2 linked regions of the Diceros bicornis minor genome follow. The main gene of each other region encodes a partner of the protein of the gene in region 2 in a complex. Links are inferred from orthologs where the notes say so. Each region holds a gene or a part of one and is shown on either strand. Other genes may lie near its edges.

Region 1 (9,083 bases), on a different chromosome or scaffold from region 2:
AGGCTGCCGGCCCCGGGCCCCAGGGCCGGGGGTGGACTCAGGACAGGCCCAGGGCGCGAGGCTGGGAGCTTCTGTGGCTGCGCCGTGTTCACAGGAGGATCTGCCTCCATGTTGCTCAGGACCCAAGATTTCCCGAGAGCAAAACCAGCACCGCAGGCGGTGACTCAGGGCAGGAAGAAGGCCGGGGCCTCCTCCCCAAGCGGCCGCCTCGACGCGACTGCGCTCCCATCCCTCACCCGGGCTGCCCTCACCTGGGGCTGCCAGACAGGAGCTGGGGCAGATCCCGTCCCAGCCGCCCCCAGGGCGGGCCCCCACCCCTCCTCCCTCCCCGGGGGTCAGAGGACCCACAGGCCCACACCCCGGCCCGGCCTGAGGGCCACACGCTGCAGGGGACCGTGCCAGGCCCCACCTGGGCCACCTGGCCGCCCGTCCCACCACAGCGCCCTCTCTGTGGACTGGGCACAGGCAGCCACGTCTGCTGTGTCCCCAAGGGGCACCTCAGGCGTTACAACAGTGGTGGCCCTCACTGGGATCACCACACAGACACTTGCCGCTACAGGTAACGTTATATCTGTGATGTGGAAACACCGCTGGGACAAGGCCAGCGGGGGTCACAATGGAAAAGGCTTGGAACAACGCCCTCCAGCCCCCTCGGCCCCGCCCACCTCGGGGAGCACCCCCCAGAATCTACAGGGAGCCTCCACCCCCAGAGCCGGGAGCAGGGCGGGCGCCTGGCCCTCCGCCACCCTGGAGACGTGAGAACTCGACTCGGGCCACATGACCAGAGCCCACGTTCTCAGTAAAGTCACCTTCATCTAAAAACAGCCACCCCTCCCGTGTGTCCGCTCGGGGCAGGGCCGGGCTTGGGCAGGAGGCCTCGTGGCAAACAGCCCCGGAGCGCTCAGGACGGCCGTCGGGCGCCCCTCCACCCCACCCGCCGCAGAGCGGGAGCCCAGACGGGAGGGGACGCCAGCCAGGCTCTTCCCCTCCATGCCTCACCTGAGGACCAGAGAGACCACGGCACCGGCCCGCAGGACCCAGCTAGCAAACCGCTGCCCGCCCCAGCAGGACGACGGCACCCTGGACAGGCCCGGGCAGGGCCAGGGTCTCCCGGCAGGGCGTGAGAAGCCGAGTGCCAGCCTCTCGGCACCCGATGCTCGAATGGAGGAAACCGCCCCTGGCAGAGGCCCCGAAGAAAGCTCCTAGGACTGACCCGTCCAGGAGAGGCGAACACTCCACTAAGCCCCTCACCCACCCCGGGAGAAGAGGCCGGCACCCCGACTCTCAGATCCCCCCTGAAGCCCCTGGGAACGGTGGAGCCGTCACAGGGAGAAGGGGAGGCCCGGGCGCAGCCCTGGGAGAAGCAGGAGGCCCGAGGCCTTCCCACCCGCTGGGCCATCGAGGGCCTCGTCCAGAGGGCTGAGGGGCCTATCTCCCGCGCGCACCTTGCCCGCAGGCTCCTATCTGCCCGCAGGCTCCTATCTGCCCGCAGGCTCCTATCTGCAGGCAGACAGCGGGCAGGCTGGCCGCAGGCCAAAGGCCCCGGCCCGGAGGCGGTCAATAAATGGTCATTCTGATCATAAGGAAGGAGGCGTGGACCGAGACCTTAAAGTGGGTCAGGGGTAACCGGGTGAAGCGTGTGCCACAGCAGCCCCTCCCAGCCCTGCTCGGGACAGCCGCCGGAGCCCGGACCCTTCTGGGCTGCACTTTGTCCCCTCCACGCCGGGCACCATAAATCTTTAACCCAGAACCGCAGAACGAGTCTCGGCACAGGAAGGAGTCATCCCTCTCCGTCGTGCTTTCTTCTGGAAAAACGGTCTTATCACACGTTCCCAGCCGCTTCCTCCACACCAGACGTCTGGCCGCCCCCACCTCGGCCCACGCCCGTGAGGGCCCGGGGCCCAGCCCGCCTGAGTCTGCAAGCAGCCCTCTGCGCTCCGGCAGCACACGGCGACCTTGAACATCTCCCCTCTCGACCCAGGCTCAGTTTCCACGCCGCAACAAGAGTAAGGGGCACCAACACCACCTCGTTCTGGGCCCCGAAATCAGACAAGACCAGAAGAAGCAGAGCGTGCGGGCCCCTGCAAGGGGTCAGTGTTGGGGCGGACACGGGGCAGGTCCCAGCGCGGCCCACGGGACCTAATCCCGGGAGGAATGACAATCCCTTCCAGCTCCCGGGAGCGGCCGCTTCCTGAGCATGTGGCTCCTGCACCCACTTGGGGACAATACCCACTTTCCAAATGAGAGCCAAAAGCCCCGGGGTGGGGGTGGGGCTCTCCACTGCACCCCTCCCCAACACTCCCAGGGCAGGGGCCCCACTCCCTAGCTGCCTCCCCAGGCCACCAGGCTCCAGCTGCTCAAGGACGGGGGGTGGGGGGGGGTGGGGGGGGGTGTCCCTTCCCTGGAGAGATGCGTGGGGGTGCCTCCAGATCCTCTCCCCAGGAGTCCTCATCAGGGGGTCAGGCCAGTTCAGGGCTCCTCCCCTCCCCCAATCAAGAAAATCAGACTTCACTCCAGTTCTTCCCTAGTCAGGCCCGTGGGGCCCCCTAAGCACAGATATCCCCCTAGCACTGCGCCCAAGGAGCCCCCGGGGTCCCCCCAAACCCCAGGGAGCCCACCCAGCACTGCTCCCCCCAGAACTTTCCGCAGCCTCTCCTGAGCCCCCTCAAACCCTGGGACCCCCTGCAACACCCCAAGTCCCCCCGAACCACGGGAACCCACAACACTGCGACACCCAGAACTGCCCCCAAGCCCCCCACAGTACCTCAGTGGGCACCCCCACATCCACACTACCACTCCTGGGATCTTTCTGGTCCCCTCAAAACCCAGAATTCCCCCAGAACTGCCACACCGGGTAACCCGCTGGGTCCTCCCAAACCACAGAAACTCCCCCGGCACTGGGATCCCCCGGAACCCGCTTGAGCCCCCCAAACCACGGGGACGCCCACATGCCGCCCCCGGGGAACCCGCCGCGTGCCCCCACTCCCCGGCCACCCCCTGCACTGCCGCCCCCGGGCATTCCTCGGGTCCCCACAAACCCCGGGACCACCCCCCACACTGCTGACCCCGGGAACCCCCCAGGTCCCCACAAACCCCGAGGACCCCCCGGCATGCCGTTCCCGGGAACCCCTCGGGTCCCCACGAACGCCGGGGAACCCCCCCGTATGCCGCCCGTGGGATCTCCCCGGGTCCTCCCAAACCCCGGGGACCCCCTCCATGCCGCTCCCGGAAACCCCCCGGGTCCCCCCAAACCCCAGGGACCCCCTCCCCAACTGCCGCCCCCGGGAACTCTCAGGGTCCCCCCAAACCCCGGGAAGCCCCCCGCATGCCGCCCCCGGGAATCTCCCGAGTCCCCACAAACCGCGGGGACCACCCGGACTCCGCAGGCCCCGAGCCCGCCTCCCCGCACCCGCTGGCCTCACCTTGCCCGGAGCCACCCTCGCCGCCCAGCAGCACGAGCCCCAACACGACCACCAGAGCGGCCGCCATGTCACCGCCGTCCCCGCCGCAACCGCCGCCGGCGGCGCTATAAGAACCGGGCGGCCGGCCGGGCGCGCGCACGCAGGGCGGCGCCGGGGGCGGGGCGGGGTGCGCAGGCACGTCGGCCGCCGTCTGCGCACGCGCACGGGTGCACGTACGCACGCGCTGGCCCGGGCAGGCTCGCGCTACGGAAGCCGGGGCGGCAGCACCACGTGACCCGGGCAGGCCACGCCCCGCGGCCTGGGGCGTGGCCGCGTTGCTAGGAAACAGGGGGGGCCCGCGCGGGCGGGGCTGGGAGCCTGGTTTCCCTTCGTTCTTTCGGAAACGTTGTTGGAACGGAGCTGTGCACCCAAAAGGGGCTAAAATGCTCCATTTATACTATGTGTGTTCTGTCACGACACGAAAGAGAAAGAAGCATTAGAGGAGGCGATAGAGATCCCTGTGAACAGGTGCACGTGTGCCCTGGGGCGGGGGGCTGCCAGATTTAGCAAAAAAAACACCCGGACGCAGTTAAGTTTTAAGTTTAAGACAGAGAACGAGTGACTTCTTAGTGTAAGTACCCGTGCAATATTGGGACATACTTATTCAAGGGAAGTATGGCTATTTATCTGAAATTCAGGTGTAACCGGCTGTCCTATATTTGCCTGGAAGACCTACCCTGGGGTTTGTCTTACAACAAATACTTTAAAAAACGACAATTTCAAGCAAAAACAGGATCATGTAATCTTCGTGACCCTGGGCTAGGCAGTGGTTTCTTAGACGTGACACCAAAAGCGCAAGCAACAAAGGAAAAAATAAATAGGACTTCATCAACATTACAAACTTTTGTGCCTCAAAGAATACTAAGAAGAAAGTGAAAAGCCAACACACAGAACGGGAGAAAATATCGGTGAATCGTATCTGATAGGGACTTATATCTATAATACATAAAGAACGCTGACAACTGGATAAAAAAAAAGACGCACGACCCTGTTAAAAAACGGACGAAGGATCAGAATATACGCTTCTCCAAAGAAGACACAGAAACGGACGACAAGTACATGAAGAAGGGCTCAGCATCCTGAGCCATCAGGGGAATGCAAACCACAACCACAGTGAGACAGCAGTTCACACCCGCTGGGACAGCTCGCAGCGAGAACGCGGAAGACAGCAAGTGCTGGTGAGAAGTGGAGACACCGGAGCCCTGTGCACAGGTGGCGGGATGGAAGATGGTGCAGCCCCTGCGCAGAACATGGGCAGGGCCTCAGAAGGGTAAACCAGAGTTACCATCTGACCTGGTAATTCCACTCCCCACAAGAACTGAAAATCCACGTCCACGTGGAAACTTGTACGTAAGTGTTCACAGCAGCATGATTCGTAACGGCCAAAAAGCAGAACAGCCCAAATGCCCATCGATGGATGAATGGATCCACACAACGGATCCATCCACACACTCGAATACGACACAGCCATCAAAAGGAGTGAAGCCCTGACACAGCTATACTGTGGACGGACCTTGAACACACGATGCTCAGTGAGAGAACCAGACACAGAAGACCACACGGTGTGTGATTCCATTGATGTGAAACGTCCAGAACAGGCACATCCACAGACAGAGAGTGGGTTCATGGTTGCCAGGGGCTGGGGGATATGGGTGAGGAGTTACTGCTGATTGGGTGGGATTGCTTTCTAGGGTGATGAAAATGTTCTGAAATTGAATGTGGTGATGGGTGCACAACTCTGAAATGTACTAAACCCACTGAGCTACAGACTTTACTTGTGTGAATTGTATGGTGTGTGAATTATCTCAATTAAATATAGGGTAATGTGCTTTAGATAAGGGGTCAGGGACGCGAAGACATACAAGGTGACAAGAACAAGGAAACAGTGGCCACAGTAAGGGGTGAGCGGTGTGTCTGGGAACAGCCTGTCTGGCCCGGGGAGGCAGGTCCAGGGAGGAGGGTGGGCAGAGCCGGCAGAGTCCCAGCTTTGGGGGGCTTTGGAGGAAAACGTGGGAAGGATGTGGCAGAGGGGCCGGGACTTGCTGATGAAGGGGTTGTGGGTGAGGACCTCACTCCTGGGGCCTGGAGCCTCAGAACCGCCCGGGAGCCAACCAGAAGCCCCAGCCCCAGGCCCATCCGGCTTGTTGAGGCCGCACGCAGGGGGGTTGAGAGCTACGTGCAGAATGGGGGAGGAAGGCCGCCAGCTGGCTTCAAAGCCCCTGGCCTGGGCAGGATTTCTGGCCCCCGCCCCGCCCTCGCTGGGCTGGGCTGCGGACAGATCTCATGGGAAATATCAGGGCTGCCGGGAAGCCTTTGTTTACGGAACAAAGCTGTGCCTCCTTGAAGACCCAGTTTTCTGTCCCCCTCCCCGATCCCCGCTCTGTTCTGTCCTGGCCTCACCCTGGGGCAGGCGGCTCCCTGTCCCCCTCTGCCTCCACGGAGAGGCCAGCCAGGGCCACGCGGGCTGGGTGGCCAGATTTACCAAACGGAAATACAGGACACCCAGTTACATTTGAAGTTCAGATAAAAAAAAAAAAAAATCAGTACCTTTTTAAGTTATCAGTAGGTCCCACGCAGTATCTGGGATATACTGATCCCCAAAATTGCCTGTCCTACGTCTGAAATTCAAATGTAACTGAATTTGGCGTCTTCCATCGGCATCTCTGACCCGGTCCCCTCACCCTTGTAACTCCCCTCATCGCACAGGTCACTCTCTGACCTCACGTCCATCCCGGGCCCCTTGCCTGCTGTCCGCCTGCCCGTGTGCAGGGCAGGGACAGCCAGCCTGGCCTGGGCCCTGTGCCGGGCCGCCATCTGCCCCCTGCGGGTGCCCCTAATTGGCTGTGGGCGAGTGGACATCCAGGACCCTCGCTGTCTCCCACCCTGGCCTCCGGGGCCTGCACCCCCTCTGGGAGGGCCCGGATTTCAGATCTGGCGGCTTCCTCTGACAGCAGGAGAAGGAGGCAGCTGTCTCCTCTGGCCTGGATCTCCCTCGTTCCAGCAGCTCTTGCAATCGAGGCCGAACCCCTCCCTCGGCCTCGCCCCCACTGACCCCTTCGGCCTCGGCGCCCTCCACCCACCACGCCTTTGGCCCCAGCCTCACTGGCAGTGTTTCCTGCCTCTGAGCCTTTGCCCAGGCTGTGCCCTTTCCAGGTCACTGCCTCGCCCCTTCCCTCCCTGGCAGAGGCCGTCTTGTCCCGAGGGCCTCACACTTGAGACACCGGCCGCTGTCCCATCGCTGGGTATCTGCCCTGGTTTGCTCACCTTGTGCTTTTTCTTATAAAACCTTTCAACTCACAGATGGGAGGAGAGACGACGACGTAGGATTTTCATTCTCTGTCACACCTCTGTCCCTTGCTCGAATGTTCCAGCTAGTTCTCCAGGCGTATTCTTCTGGGAGCTTGGAGATGCAGCCCGGCCCCAGGCGGTGACGGCTGGGAGAAGGTGGATTTCATTCCTGGGCCCCAGGGAGCCCGGGGAGGGATGTGAGCAGGGAGGGTCGTCCTCTCCTCTGACCTGTGTCATCGGGGGATGTCTCGGCCGCCAGGGGAGAGGCCCTGGGGGTGGGAGTGGACATGGGCAGGGGACAACAAGGCAGCTCCCAGACCCTGTGAATGGGACTTTATTTGGAAAAAGGGTCTTTGCAGATGTAATTAAGAGTCTTGATATGAAGTCCTCGTGGATAAGGGTGGCCCTAAATCCAATGACAACGTCCTTATAAGAGACAGAAGAGGAGCGACAGACACAGAGAAGCCATGTGATGACAGAGGCCGAGACTGGGGTGATGCGGCCACAAGCCCAGGACGCCGGGGCCCCCAGAGGCTGGACGAAGCAGGAAGGACCCTCCCCTGGAGCCTCTGGAGGGAGCCCGGCCCTGCCACACCGTGATCTTGGATTTCTGCCCCCAGAACCATGAGGGTGTAATTTCTGTTGTCTTAAGCCACCCAGTTGTGCTGTTTTGTTACGGCCCAGGAGTGCCCGCAGGCGGGGACCCGGGAGACACCCGGCCAGCCAGCCTGGCACTGGCGTTAAGGGCGGGCGCGTCCGTCCACCGAGTGCCACCACCACCGCCGCCCTGCGAGGGGGTCACGGGAGCCACCGCCCTCCCCACCCCCGTCCATCACCGGTATCTTCCCCAGAAAATGCAGACAGTCCCTCTAGATGAGCCTTTGGGCTTTGGACTTCTGCGCCCGTGGGTTTGTAGTCTTTTCTAGCGATGCACTCCAAAAAATAAAGATAAGACAAGACAAAGATAAATCCGTATAAGAAAGGAAGATAACCAGTCTTTCCCCAGCCTGGTCCACCAGGCTGATAACCGAGGGTTTCTTTTCGTTGACGGTTATTCATGAGTGTCAGGGACCCTTGTCGACCTCTGGTCGCTGAGCTGTAGGATTTCCTGGTTGATTTCAAGGTTTCCTCCCCAGTGTGTCCATATCTTTGTCGTAGCGGGATAAGAGGAAGATTTTTTGTTTTACAATTTTTTTTTTTTTTTTGCTGAGGAAGATTAACGCTGAGCTAACATCTGTGCCCATCTTCCTCTATTTTGTACGTGGGACGCTGCGTCAGCATGGCTGATGGGTGGTATAGGTCCGCACCTGAGATCCGAACCCGTGAACCTGGGCCACCAAAGCGGAGAGCCCCAAACTCAACCACTCAGCCACCAGGCCGGCCCCCTCAATGTTTTATTTTGAAAAGTCCTCAAACTTCAGTGAAGTTCTAAGGATAATAACCCCCCTCACCTGCATGCCCAGCCGGGGACATCTGCTCCCTCCCCCCTCTCTCCGTCTCTCCGTGTCTCTCTGTGTCTGTATCTCTGTCTCTGTCTGTCCCTGTCTCTGTCTCTCTCCCTCTCTGTCTCTGCTCTCTATCTCTGTCTCTCTCCCTCTCTCTCTGTCTCTGTATGTCTCTCTATCTCTTTCTGTCTCTCTCTCTTTCTCTGTCTCTGTCTCTGTCTCTCTCTCCTTCTCACATGTTCCCCCTAGACTTGCCGGCACCACCTTCAACCCTAAGATGTGAGAGAGAGGATCATATTTGAGAAGCTGAGTATTTCTGCAAATAAACGCTGGGTCCACGCCCCTGAGTGCCCGGCATTTTCCCCAGCTCTCCGGCCAGCCCAGCCCTGCGCTCGCCGCGTGAGCTGTGCTGTTGTCCTCTGTCCTTTGTTCTGGGACAGACCCCAGGCTGGCCAGTCTCTCCACGTGCCTGTCCCATTGTCCATTTCCCCAGTGTCATGTTGGGGGACCCGGGCCCGAGGCCCCCCCGACTCCCCCGCCTCTCAGGGACGTGGGACGTGGCTTCGCCCAGAGCCACGGTCTCCTTGTCAGTCGCTGGGGTGAGAACAGCCTTCCATCGCAGGGCAACAAGTGTCCCCGTCTGTCCCGGGGCGAGTGGTGTCCCCTCCAGAATTCACATCACTGAACCTCAAAACGGGGCCTCATTTGGGAACGGGGTCACTGGAGGCAGATTAGTTAGGCTGCGGTCACGCTGGGGCAGGGCAAGCCCTAAATGTGAGTGTTGTCCTTATAGGAGGGAAATGTAGACACAGACACGGGGGAGGCCACGTGGCCACGGAGGCAGAGATGGAGGGACGCGCCCACAAGCCCAGGACGCCGGGGCCCCCCG
Region 2 (9,477 bases):
CTCTTTTCTCTTGTGTAAAATGGAGATAAATACAGCACCACCCTCTAGGGCTGCTGTGAACGTGAGCAGTGACGACAATAAAGCACTATGCACAGTGCCTGGCTAATAGCAGGCACTCGATCACGACGGCTGCTATTACTGGTATTTTTTTTTAATTAATATTACAGATTCGGATTAGCAAGCTGAAAGGAAGATTGAGTCCAACCTCCATCTTGAACAGCCATGGAAACTGAGGCCAGAGAGGGGAAGACTGCCTGGGTCACACAGCAAGTGATGGCAGAGTGGGGACTGGTTCCTTGGGAGGCTGTGGTGTGTACAGCAGGGGGCCCTCAAGGTGTGTAGGGGTGGTAAAGGAGAAGGGGGAGCCCTGGACCTCGAATCAGATGGCAGTTGGAGTCCTAGGTGGGCCGCCAGCTGGCTCTGTGACCTTGGGCAATTCTCTTCCCTTTTATAAGAGAAAACCCTCCCAGCACTCCTCACTGTACAAACTTCCCCCGGTTTATGAGGCCACCTGCCTCTCCCTTTTCAGATCACTCAACACATGTTACTTAACTACCTGCTTTACAGTCTATCATCCTGGCAGGGCAGGGGCTGTGTCCCAGTTCACTGTGGTGTCCTTGGCACAGGGACAGGCACAAAGGTGCTCAATAAAACTTGAGTGTATGAAGGAGCTCAATAAATTGTTTATTGACTAACAAATTGTCTATTATCTGTCAGGCACCCTACACACTTTATCTTCAAAATAGTAAACATTATCCTCAAAATAGTAAAAATTACAATTAAAATGTATTATGCACCAGGCTTCATATGCATCACCTCACTTAATCCTTTCATCAGCCCTATGAGGTAGGATCATTTATTATGTCCATTTTACAGATGAGAACAAACCCATACTCAGGTTGAATCATTTGTCCAAACTCATATGGCTAGAGAGTGACTTTGGATTTGAAGCCAGACCTGCCTGACTAAAGGATGTTCTCCTATTTGCTAAGCAGCCCTTATAAGAGTGAAAACATTTTGACATTTGTAGGAAACGTTCCCAAGCCATAGGGGGGTGCGTCACTCACACTGGTAGTACTCGACCTGGCCACTCTGCAGAATGATGGCCAGCACCAGCGTGAGCTGCGGTGTCGTCTCCAAGAAGGTCTCGAAGAGTCGCAGCATGCTGATGTCCAGGGAGAGGAAGTCGGCGTAGGCCATGTCAAAGTCGGAGGGCACCTCCTGCTGCCAGACCAACAGCCCCTGCCGCAGCCCCTGCAGGCACCTAGGCACATACAGATGCCCCAAGGGGCCAGGTTAGTGTCCTCGGCTATTCCTCTCTCCCCTAACCTATCGGGTGGATGCAGACAGACCTCCAATCCTAGCTTGTCACTAACATGCTGTGGGGCCTTGGGCAAGCGACTTCACCTCACTGAACTTGCTTCTTCATCTGTAAAATGGGGATAAACACAACTACTGCTGGCCAGGCAATGTCCCAAGCTCATCACAAATCTTGTCCCCTTTACTCCCTACAACATCCCGATTTTACAGATGGGGAAACAGCACCAAAGAGCTAATGAGGGTGGAATCAGGATTTGGATCCAAAGCTGTTTGAATTTGAAAGACATATGAAATTGCCTAAGGTGCTAGTTCTCAAATTTTAGCATGCTTAAGAATTTCTTGGGATCCTATGGGGCAGGGGAGCCATTGAGAGCTTCTAAGCATAGGCAGATAAGTCAGATTGTGCTTTAGAAAAATTACCACGGCTGTGAAGAGGAGGAAGGGTGGGAGGGGTTGGATTGGAAGCAGGGATCCATTTAAGAGGCTGTTGTAACAGTTCAGGGAGAAAGCATGAGAGCCTGACCAGAGTGGTGGAGACAGAGACCAGGGCGGAGTCAAAAGAGTCCAGAGTGGACAGACAGGCCTGGGTGACCCACTGGCACGAGGCAGGAATAGAGGATGCACCAAAGTCTTGCCCACTCAGAACTGATCTCAGTTGGCCACAGGAAAGGGAGCCCATATACTCACTGCAAATTCATTCATCATTGGTTACTGACACTTCCCCTGAATGGACTTGACAACACACTAAGGCAGCAGGCAGGCAGGCCTGGGTCAGGGCTCTCTCTCAGCAGAAGCCTCTGCCTCTGGTCCCCCAATACCTGGCAGGGGCCCCTGCCTCAGCCTAGTCACAGGCAGGAACAGAGACCCTGTTTCTAAACCAAAGCTCCATATAGTCTGTCTGCCTCACGCTCAACAGAAATAGGGAAGGGAGGATGCGTGGCGTAGTTGCGGATTCAGGGCTCACTGAGACCTGCCAGGACCGTAATAACTGTGCCCCTCCCCGCCCACCCCAGGTTTAACTGATGCCCGTCTGGTCCCTCAGACAAAACTGCAACATTCAAAGCTCCACTTGTCCCTCCTGGAGAATCGATGCAGCTTTGTCAAGGCAAGATCTGGACAGAAATTGTAAAAATGCATCCAAGAGTGAATCCTGGCTCCAGCCACCCCATCCCAACCCAGACCACACCACGTCCTGACTTCGTCACAGGACTGACCCCTGGCTTTCAGTTTCCCCAACTCTATAGGGCCCTGCCAGTTCTGAAAAGGCTGGCTCCAGGGGCAAGGATGAGTCAGACCCCATCTCTGCCCTCTTGCTCAGTCTGGGGGTTTTTCCAGGTCTCATTTTTTTCAGTCCTCATCAGAGGCCCGAACTACGACCATCCCCACCGGAACGGGGCGGGGAGGAGGGGGGCGGCGGCGGGGCGGGGGTTGTCAAGTGACTTGCCCAAGACTCCACCCACAGCTAAAAGAACAGCCTAGTGTTGAACCGAGTCTGGGGGTCTTTGCCATCACAACAGAGTCCAACATGTGCCAAGCGCCGGGCTAGGCGTTTTCCCTCTCTCCTCACAACAGGCCCGCCTGCCAGCCCTAATCTAGATTACTACTTCCTTTTAACAGAGGAGGAAACCCAGGCTCAGAGAAAGGCAGGAATGAAGCCACAGGCGGGAAAGCCAGGACTGGATACCAGAGAGGTCTGACTCCAAACCATGCGCCTCCCTTTTTTCTCTGGGCCTCAGTTTCTTCCCCTGTGCCAGGAAGAGCAGGGCTAGATGAGCGCTGAGGGTTGTCAGCGGGAGCTCTCTCTCTTTGAGGGACGGAGAACTTACCTGTAGGTAGAGGTGCCCAAGGGGCTTAGTTTCCTCTCCTGGGTCCTGGTCCTCTCCTCCCCACCCTCTTCCCAGCTGCAGGAAGTGCCGCTGGGCTCCGTTCCCCCTCCCTCCTTCCGAGGGCGGGGCGCTCACCTGTACAGGTAGCCCAGCTGCAGGAGATGCAGCAGCGCCAGGCAGCGGCCCGGGGGCTGCGGAGCGTGCAGGCCGGCGGGGTCGGCGCGCAGCCAGACCCAGCTGAAGAGCTGCATCGCGACCGAGGCGAGGCCCAGCAGCGCCAGCACCAGCGCGGCCCACAGGTAGCGACCGCTGAGCACGTACTGGCCCGCGGCCCATAGGTCAGCGCCCAGGTCGATCAGGAAGGCGGCGGTGCCCAATACGCCCAGGACCAGGTCCCTAAGGAGCGCGGCGTGGGGTGACCAGGGCATGACCCACCAGCCTCTCCCCCTCCTTCTCTTCTTCGGCTTGGACCCGCCCTCCGGGCCCCGGGGTCTTAGCTGCAGGAAGGAGGCGGGCACAGCCCTCGGGGCCGCCTAGGGCCGGGGCCTGCTGGGCGGGACTTCCCTGTCCCGCCCTGTCCGGGGAGGAGCAAGACCCGCGTACCTCGCGTCTGGGTTGTCCGTGGTCCCCCACCCCCGTCCTGCCGCGTCACTGACGGACTTGCGGGGCTCTGGCCTTGCATCCTGCCTTGGGATTCCCCCCACCTAGCCCTCCGATCCCCGAGGACCGCTGGGCCCTAAGACTGACCGTCCGAGGCGCACCGCCCTTAGCCTAGCAGGCTTCTAATTGCCTTGTATTGCATTTGTCCCTCCAGGAGGCCCAAGACAGCGAAAGGGGCCCAGAAATTAGCGCCGGCGCTAGAACTGCAATCCCTTCACATCTGCATTGTTGCAAAACAAAACAACAAAACAGAAAGGCCTGTCGCAAACTAGGTGTGCCTCAAGTTCGGGCCATGGGCACAGTACTGAGGGCACAGGACCAACAAGGCGCATCTCCTTGGTGGCTCATTTCGCTCTGATTATCCGCTCGAGGAGGAGGGGAGGACGTTCAATAGCTGCAAGGGAGTTGCTTTAAACGTTATGTACATATTAAAAGGAATAATGCACAGAATAAGATGCACGATGAGCATTGTTTTTCGGATAAAACATGAAAGAAATGTGCTTCTGGTGGGGTCTTTGGTGCTTCATTTCCTGATCCGGCTGTCCCATCCCAGTTCACTCTGCGGGGGAAAAGGAGGAAAAGCCCAGCTCTCGGGGTGACGCTGCCCCCATTTACCACCGGGAAGACGAACTCAGCGTGCCAGCGGGCGGCGCCCAAGGTCACGGCGCGAGCAGCGCGCGCAGGCCCAGCAGCGCCGCGAGCAGGAGCGCGAGCCTGGGCGCGGGCGCGGCGCCGGGGGCGCGCAGGCAGGCGTAGTACGCGTCGAAGGCCACCTCGCGCAGCGCGCACACGTGCTCGGTGCGGCAGGCCTCGCCGCAGGCCTGGGTGTCGTAACTGACCGAGTTGTAGACATAGTAGCGCTGCAGCGCGCCCTGGTCGCTGGCGATGCGGCCCAGTGCCGCGTGCATGGAGCGGATGCTCGCGTTGGGCACCCCGTAGGCCTCGGTCACCCGGTACTCGAGCTCCCAGCTGGGCGCCCCCTGCGCGTTCGCCTGGCTCAGGTTCACGAAGTAGGTCACCATGTCCTAGAGAGGGGGCGCGAGGCAGGCCGGCCATGAGCAGCTGTACGGTTCCACCCCAATCCTGTACCTTGCATTTGCCCCCAAATTCTCTATAGCCGTAATAATGACCACTATTAGTTACTGAGCATTTACTACTTACCAGGTATGCTTGGCAGACATCCTCTGATTGAATCTGATGAGGTAACTGTGCTTATTAGCCCCATTTCACCTATGAGAAACTGAGGCCTAAAGGGGTTAATGCCTTTGGCCAGGGTCCTACAGGTGTTCAGTGGCAGAGGCGGGATTGGAACCCAGGTTGTTTACCCCATGGCCCGTGCATTTTCTGTCCCAGCAAGCACAGAAAATGCTCAGTAAATATTTACAGAGTGAATGGATAAAAAGCAACTTAAAAGAAGTGGGACAGAGTGCCTGGCTGAGAGAGGTTATAGAATTGTGGTTGATGGGGGCTTGGGATACACCCAGGACCCCCTAGGACTCAGGTGCATTTTCAGGACTAGAATCTGGAAGGGTTTATCTGTCCAATAATATCCACTTGAATATATGGACCTGCTTCAGGGCGCTAGAGGTGGGGTAAGAGGAGCTGCCATGTATGGATGACAGCTTCCTGCTGGGCACATGACATTATTTCAGTTAGTCCTCCCCACCCCTGTGAGGTACTGTTACTCCCATTTTACAGATGAAGCAACAGAGGCCCAGAAAGGTCAAAAAGCTCATGAGTCCTGAAGCCAGGATTCAAACCTACGTCTGTCTGACTCCCTCCCTGAGAAGGATGTAGGGCCTTCTGCGTGCCCATGTGGACAACTGGCCATACTCTAAAAATCCTCAGGCCTCGTCTCCATCCACATTTACTCTGGAACAAAGGACCTGGGTTATCTCCTCCAGTCCCTGGTTTTAAATGGCCTTTCTCATCAACCAGATTAAGTCTCTATACCCACCTCTTCCTGGAACTCCAGCTTGAACACCCAACTTCCTCTTCCCTCGGCATTTTCATTTGGATGCCATTTAGACATCCCAAAGTGAACAGGTCCAAACCAGACTTCTGATCTTCCCTCCAAAACCTGCACTTCGACAGTGTCCCATTTCAGTAAGCGGCAGCCTCATCCTTCCAGGTGCTCAGGCCAAAGCCTTGGAGTCCTCCTTGACCCCTCTCTTGCTCTCACACCCCTCATCCAATCCACCAGCAAATCCTGTCCGCTCTGCCTTCGAAGTACGTCCAGGATCTGGCACTTCTCGCCACCCCACTGCTGCCACTCTGGCCCCCGCCACCCTCCCTTCTCAGTGGTTCCTGTGGTGACCTCCTCACCGATACCCTACTTCTGCCCTTGCCCCCAACAGCCTGTTCTCTGCACAGCAGACATGGTGACTTTGTAAAATTGTAAGTTAAAATATTTAATTCATCTGCCCCAAACTCCCCAAATGCAGAGTCCTAATGATGGCCTACGTGATCTGACCTCATCCCTCCCACTCTCCCCTTATCCTTCCACCGCAGCCACACTGGTCTCCCTGTTCTTCCTCTAACACACCAAGAACATCCCCACCCCAGGGCCTTTGACTTGCTCTTCCTCCGCCTTCCCCTGATGCTCACATGGCTTGCTCCCTGAATTTACTCAGAATTCAAATGTCACCCTATCAGGGACACTTCCCTGCCCCACCTACCTAACAGCACACAACACACCCTGTAACCGTCACTACTTGTCTCCTCAGTGTGTTTTCGTTTCTCCATAGCTCTTCTTCCTGTGCCATACTTTACTTACTCCTTTATTGTCTGTCTCCCATAAGAAGGTCAGATCCAGGAGAGCTGAGGCTGTTTTTGTTCACTTATGTATCACCTGAGCTTAGCACATGGCAGATGCCTGGTACATTTTGTTGAATCAATTAAGGAATAATATTTCTTTGTCATTTCAACAATCACAAGCACATCTCAGGAGGTGAGGGATGGCTCGATGCCTTAGGGGCCTGCTATGGCTGGGGCCTAGTTGGTGTAGGGAAGCAGTGGGTAGGAGGCCCGAGGTCACACTGTGGGAGGCCTTGACTATGAGGTCAAGGAGATCCAACTTGTTTTGGGGGCACTGGGGAGCCATTGAAGGTTTTTGAGCAGGAGAGAGAGAAGTGCTTTAGAAAGATTAACTCTTTCTGTAATGTGTAGCAGATGAGCTACAGCAGGGCAGGGCTAGGAGGCTGTGATCCAGGGCCAAGAGAGATTTGGGGAAGAAGAATTGACCTGACTTGGTGGCAGGGTTGGGAGGTGGCTCTAGGGTTCTGAACCTGAGCTCTGAAAGGATGGAAGTAACTTGAGCTTCCTGAGGCTCAGTGGTCAGCAGAGGGTGGGTTAGCTGGGAGAGAGTTAGGGAAGGCAGTGAGGTGTCCAGGTCCCTCCCCTCCCTCCTCCTCTGACCCCAACAGACCAGGGCTCCTGACCTGCAGGCTCAGTGTGGCTTGGTCGTATTCGAACACCCGGATGCCTGGATTGTTGGCCCCGTTGACCACTCCAGGTAACGTGGTTTTCCATGGGGTGACCCCAGGTGTAATGAACATGACACTGATGGGGGCACCTTTCAGGAGAAAGACAGTGGGACTGAGAGAGGCCGGCCAGAGAAGGAGGGAGGTGGGCTGGCAGTTGCCCTTCAGGTTGAGTACCTGCATCATCATAGAACATTCGAAAGCTGTCGGTGTGGTGGTGCCCGAAGAACTGCCCTGCGATGACTCGATGGTGCTTCTGGACCACCTTCAGGTACTCCTCGTTGAAGCCCTCCCGGAACCATGCCTTGTTTCGTGTCTTCTCAAAGAACCCCGGGGGCACGTGGCCAATAATGTATACCTACAGGGAAGGGGTGTCCAGGAGGAGCTCCGAGATGTCCTCCTCAACCCCTCATTGCCCCCTCTCCAAACCTGCCTTTCTCCCCAAAGGCAAGCAGACAGGCTCAAATGTACCTCCTCCCCCGAAAGACTACCTCTGGCAGATTCCGGCACTCTCTGTACCCAGCAATGAATGTCCCACACACTTCCCCACTTCTGTGCCTTTGCCCGTGCTATGCCTGCCACCTGGAGTACCTTTCTCATTTTCACTTCTGTAAATCCTACTTGTAGTTCAAAACCTAGCTCAAAGGGCACCTCCTCATGAAACCTTCCTGATCCTTCGGAGACTAGTCTTCTCTCTTGGAGAGCTCAGGCCCTGTCACTAAACCTTCCTTGCCTGGTTGTGTAGCACATGCTATGTGGTAATGTGTGTTCACGTCTTACATTGCTTGAATCACTCAGCTAACAATACCTGGGCCCTTGGCCACCATTGCAAGAGGTAGAATGGGGGGTAGGGGGAGAGCAGTTAAGAGCATGAGCTTTGGAGTCAAACTGCATCTTGGACACCAGCTGTGGATCACCTCTCTGAGCTTCTGTTTTCACATCGGGAATAGCACCTAACTGGTGGAGTTTTCAGAAAATGAGATAATCCATATAAAACACTTAGCAACGTGCCTGATGCATAGTGAGTGCTCAGAAGCACCGGCCGTGAGATTCTGCTGGGATGTGCTGGTCAGTGCAGGACTCAGGAAAATGAGACACAGGGCTAGTCCTCAGGGAGCTGCCAGCCCAGCAGACTAGATGGACCACCTCCAGGGCAGGGCATCCCTTTATGTGGGCTGCAGCTGTGGCATGTCGGGGCAGTGGAAAGAGCACTGGACTTGGAGTCTGGAGACTGAGGTTCTAGTCTCAGCTCCACCACTTATTGTGTGACAGGACGGTCACCACCCCTCAGGAGCCTCACATCTGCAATGGGCTCCAGGGTCCCAGCCTCACATGCTGTTGTCAGGATGGAACAAGCCCCCTCCTGGTGCTGGGTTGATGAAGGACCCTCTGTGATGTGGGCATCTCGGGTTGGGTGGGTGAGTTTGTGCGGAGGCGGCAGACCTGTTCAGGAAGTGACCCCAGAGAGGGAGGAGGAGGTGGCAGCAGCCCTTACCATTTCCCCAGCTCGGGATGCATTGGTCAGCACGTCTTCCAGCCACTGGAACTGCTGGCCGGGGTCGGCCATGCCAGCTGTCTGCTCATTGTTGCTATAGTACAGATTGGTGTTGAGGACCACGATTCGCCCAGCCCCACTCGGCCCCAGCAACTTCTCAGAATAAAAGGCACCTGGAACATCACAGCCAGGGAAAATCTGAAGGGGTCCTCTGCCTCTGACCAGACACGCCTCTGCCCCCTTCACTTCACTCTCTCACCTTCTCCTTCCCTTGCATCCTCCCTTCCCATTTTTCCCACAGGAGGGGCATCATGAGTAAGACCAAAGATTCTGGAGCCAGGGTGCCTGAGTTCAAGCCCTGGCTCTATCACTTATTAGCTGTGCAACTTGGAAAAGTTAACCTCTCTATGCCTCAGTTTCCTCCTCTGTGTAATGGGAATAACAATGAGGTGTGTTTGCCCCTCCAGATCCACTGTCAACCCTTCTCCACTCAGCTCTCTGCTCCAGGAGCTGATCTATGTGAAGTAAATCAATAGGCTTCTATGCCATGGGCTTCTGCTTGGGTTTGGCCAATGGGGAGCCCCAACAGCAGGGAACTGAGGGAAAGGGAAGAGAGTAGGTAAGGGGAACCTTGGGCTGGCTGTGTCTCTGATCAGTGGTTCTCAACCAGAGGATCTTGTGCCCCAGGGAATAT

What was found.
Region 1: the proteins of XKR8 (region 2) and BSG are in contact, whole or in part, in a cryo-EM structure (PDB 7DCE), measured with the Homo sapiens proteins. The link is inferred for Diceros bicornis minor from reciprocal best matches to the Homo sapiens genes XKR8 and BSG. Residues at the interface, in NP_060523.2 of Homo sapiens: His232, Leu236, Val239, Leu242, Trp243, Leu246, Gln247, Arg280, Gly283, Arg284, Ile287, Phe291, Ser294, Asp295, Leu298, Ala301, Thr302; in NP_001719.2 of Homo sapiens: Trp326, Pro327, Gly330, Ile331, Glu334, Val335, Leu338, Val339, Ile341, Ile342, Phe343, Tyr345, Glu346, Lys350.

What each region holds. Positions count from the first base shown.
Region 1 is NW_026691553.1:240,341-249,423, reverse strand, and holds the start of BSG (basigin), read right to left. Parts: upstream 3,525-9,083; 5' UTR 3,490-3,524; coding exon 3,423-3,489; intron 1-3,422.
Region 2 is NC_080752.1:43,432,717-43,442,193, reverse strand, and holds the start of XKR8 (XK-related protein 8), read right to left. Parts: upstream 3,731-9,477; 5' UTR 3,575-3,730; coding exon 3,282-3,574; intron 1,265-3,281; coding exon 1,068-1,264; intron 1-1,067. Other genes in the region: SMPDL3B (acid sphingomyelinase-like phosphodiesterase 3b), read right to left, coding at 4,224-4,831, 4,968-5,046, 7,247-7,380, 7,466-7,646, 8,784-8,956.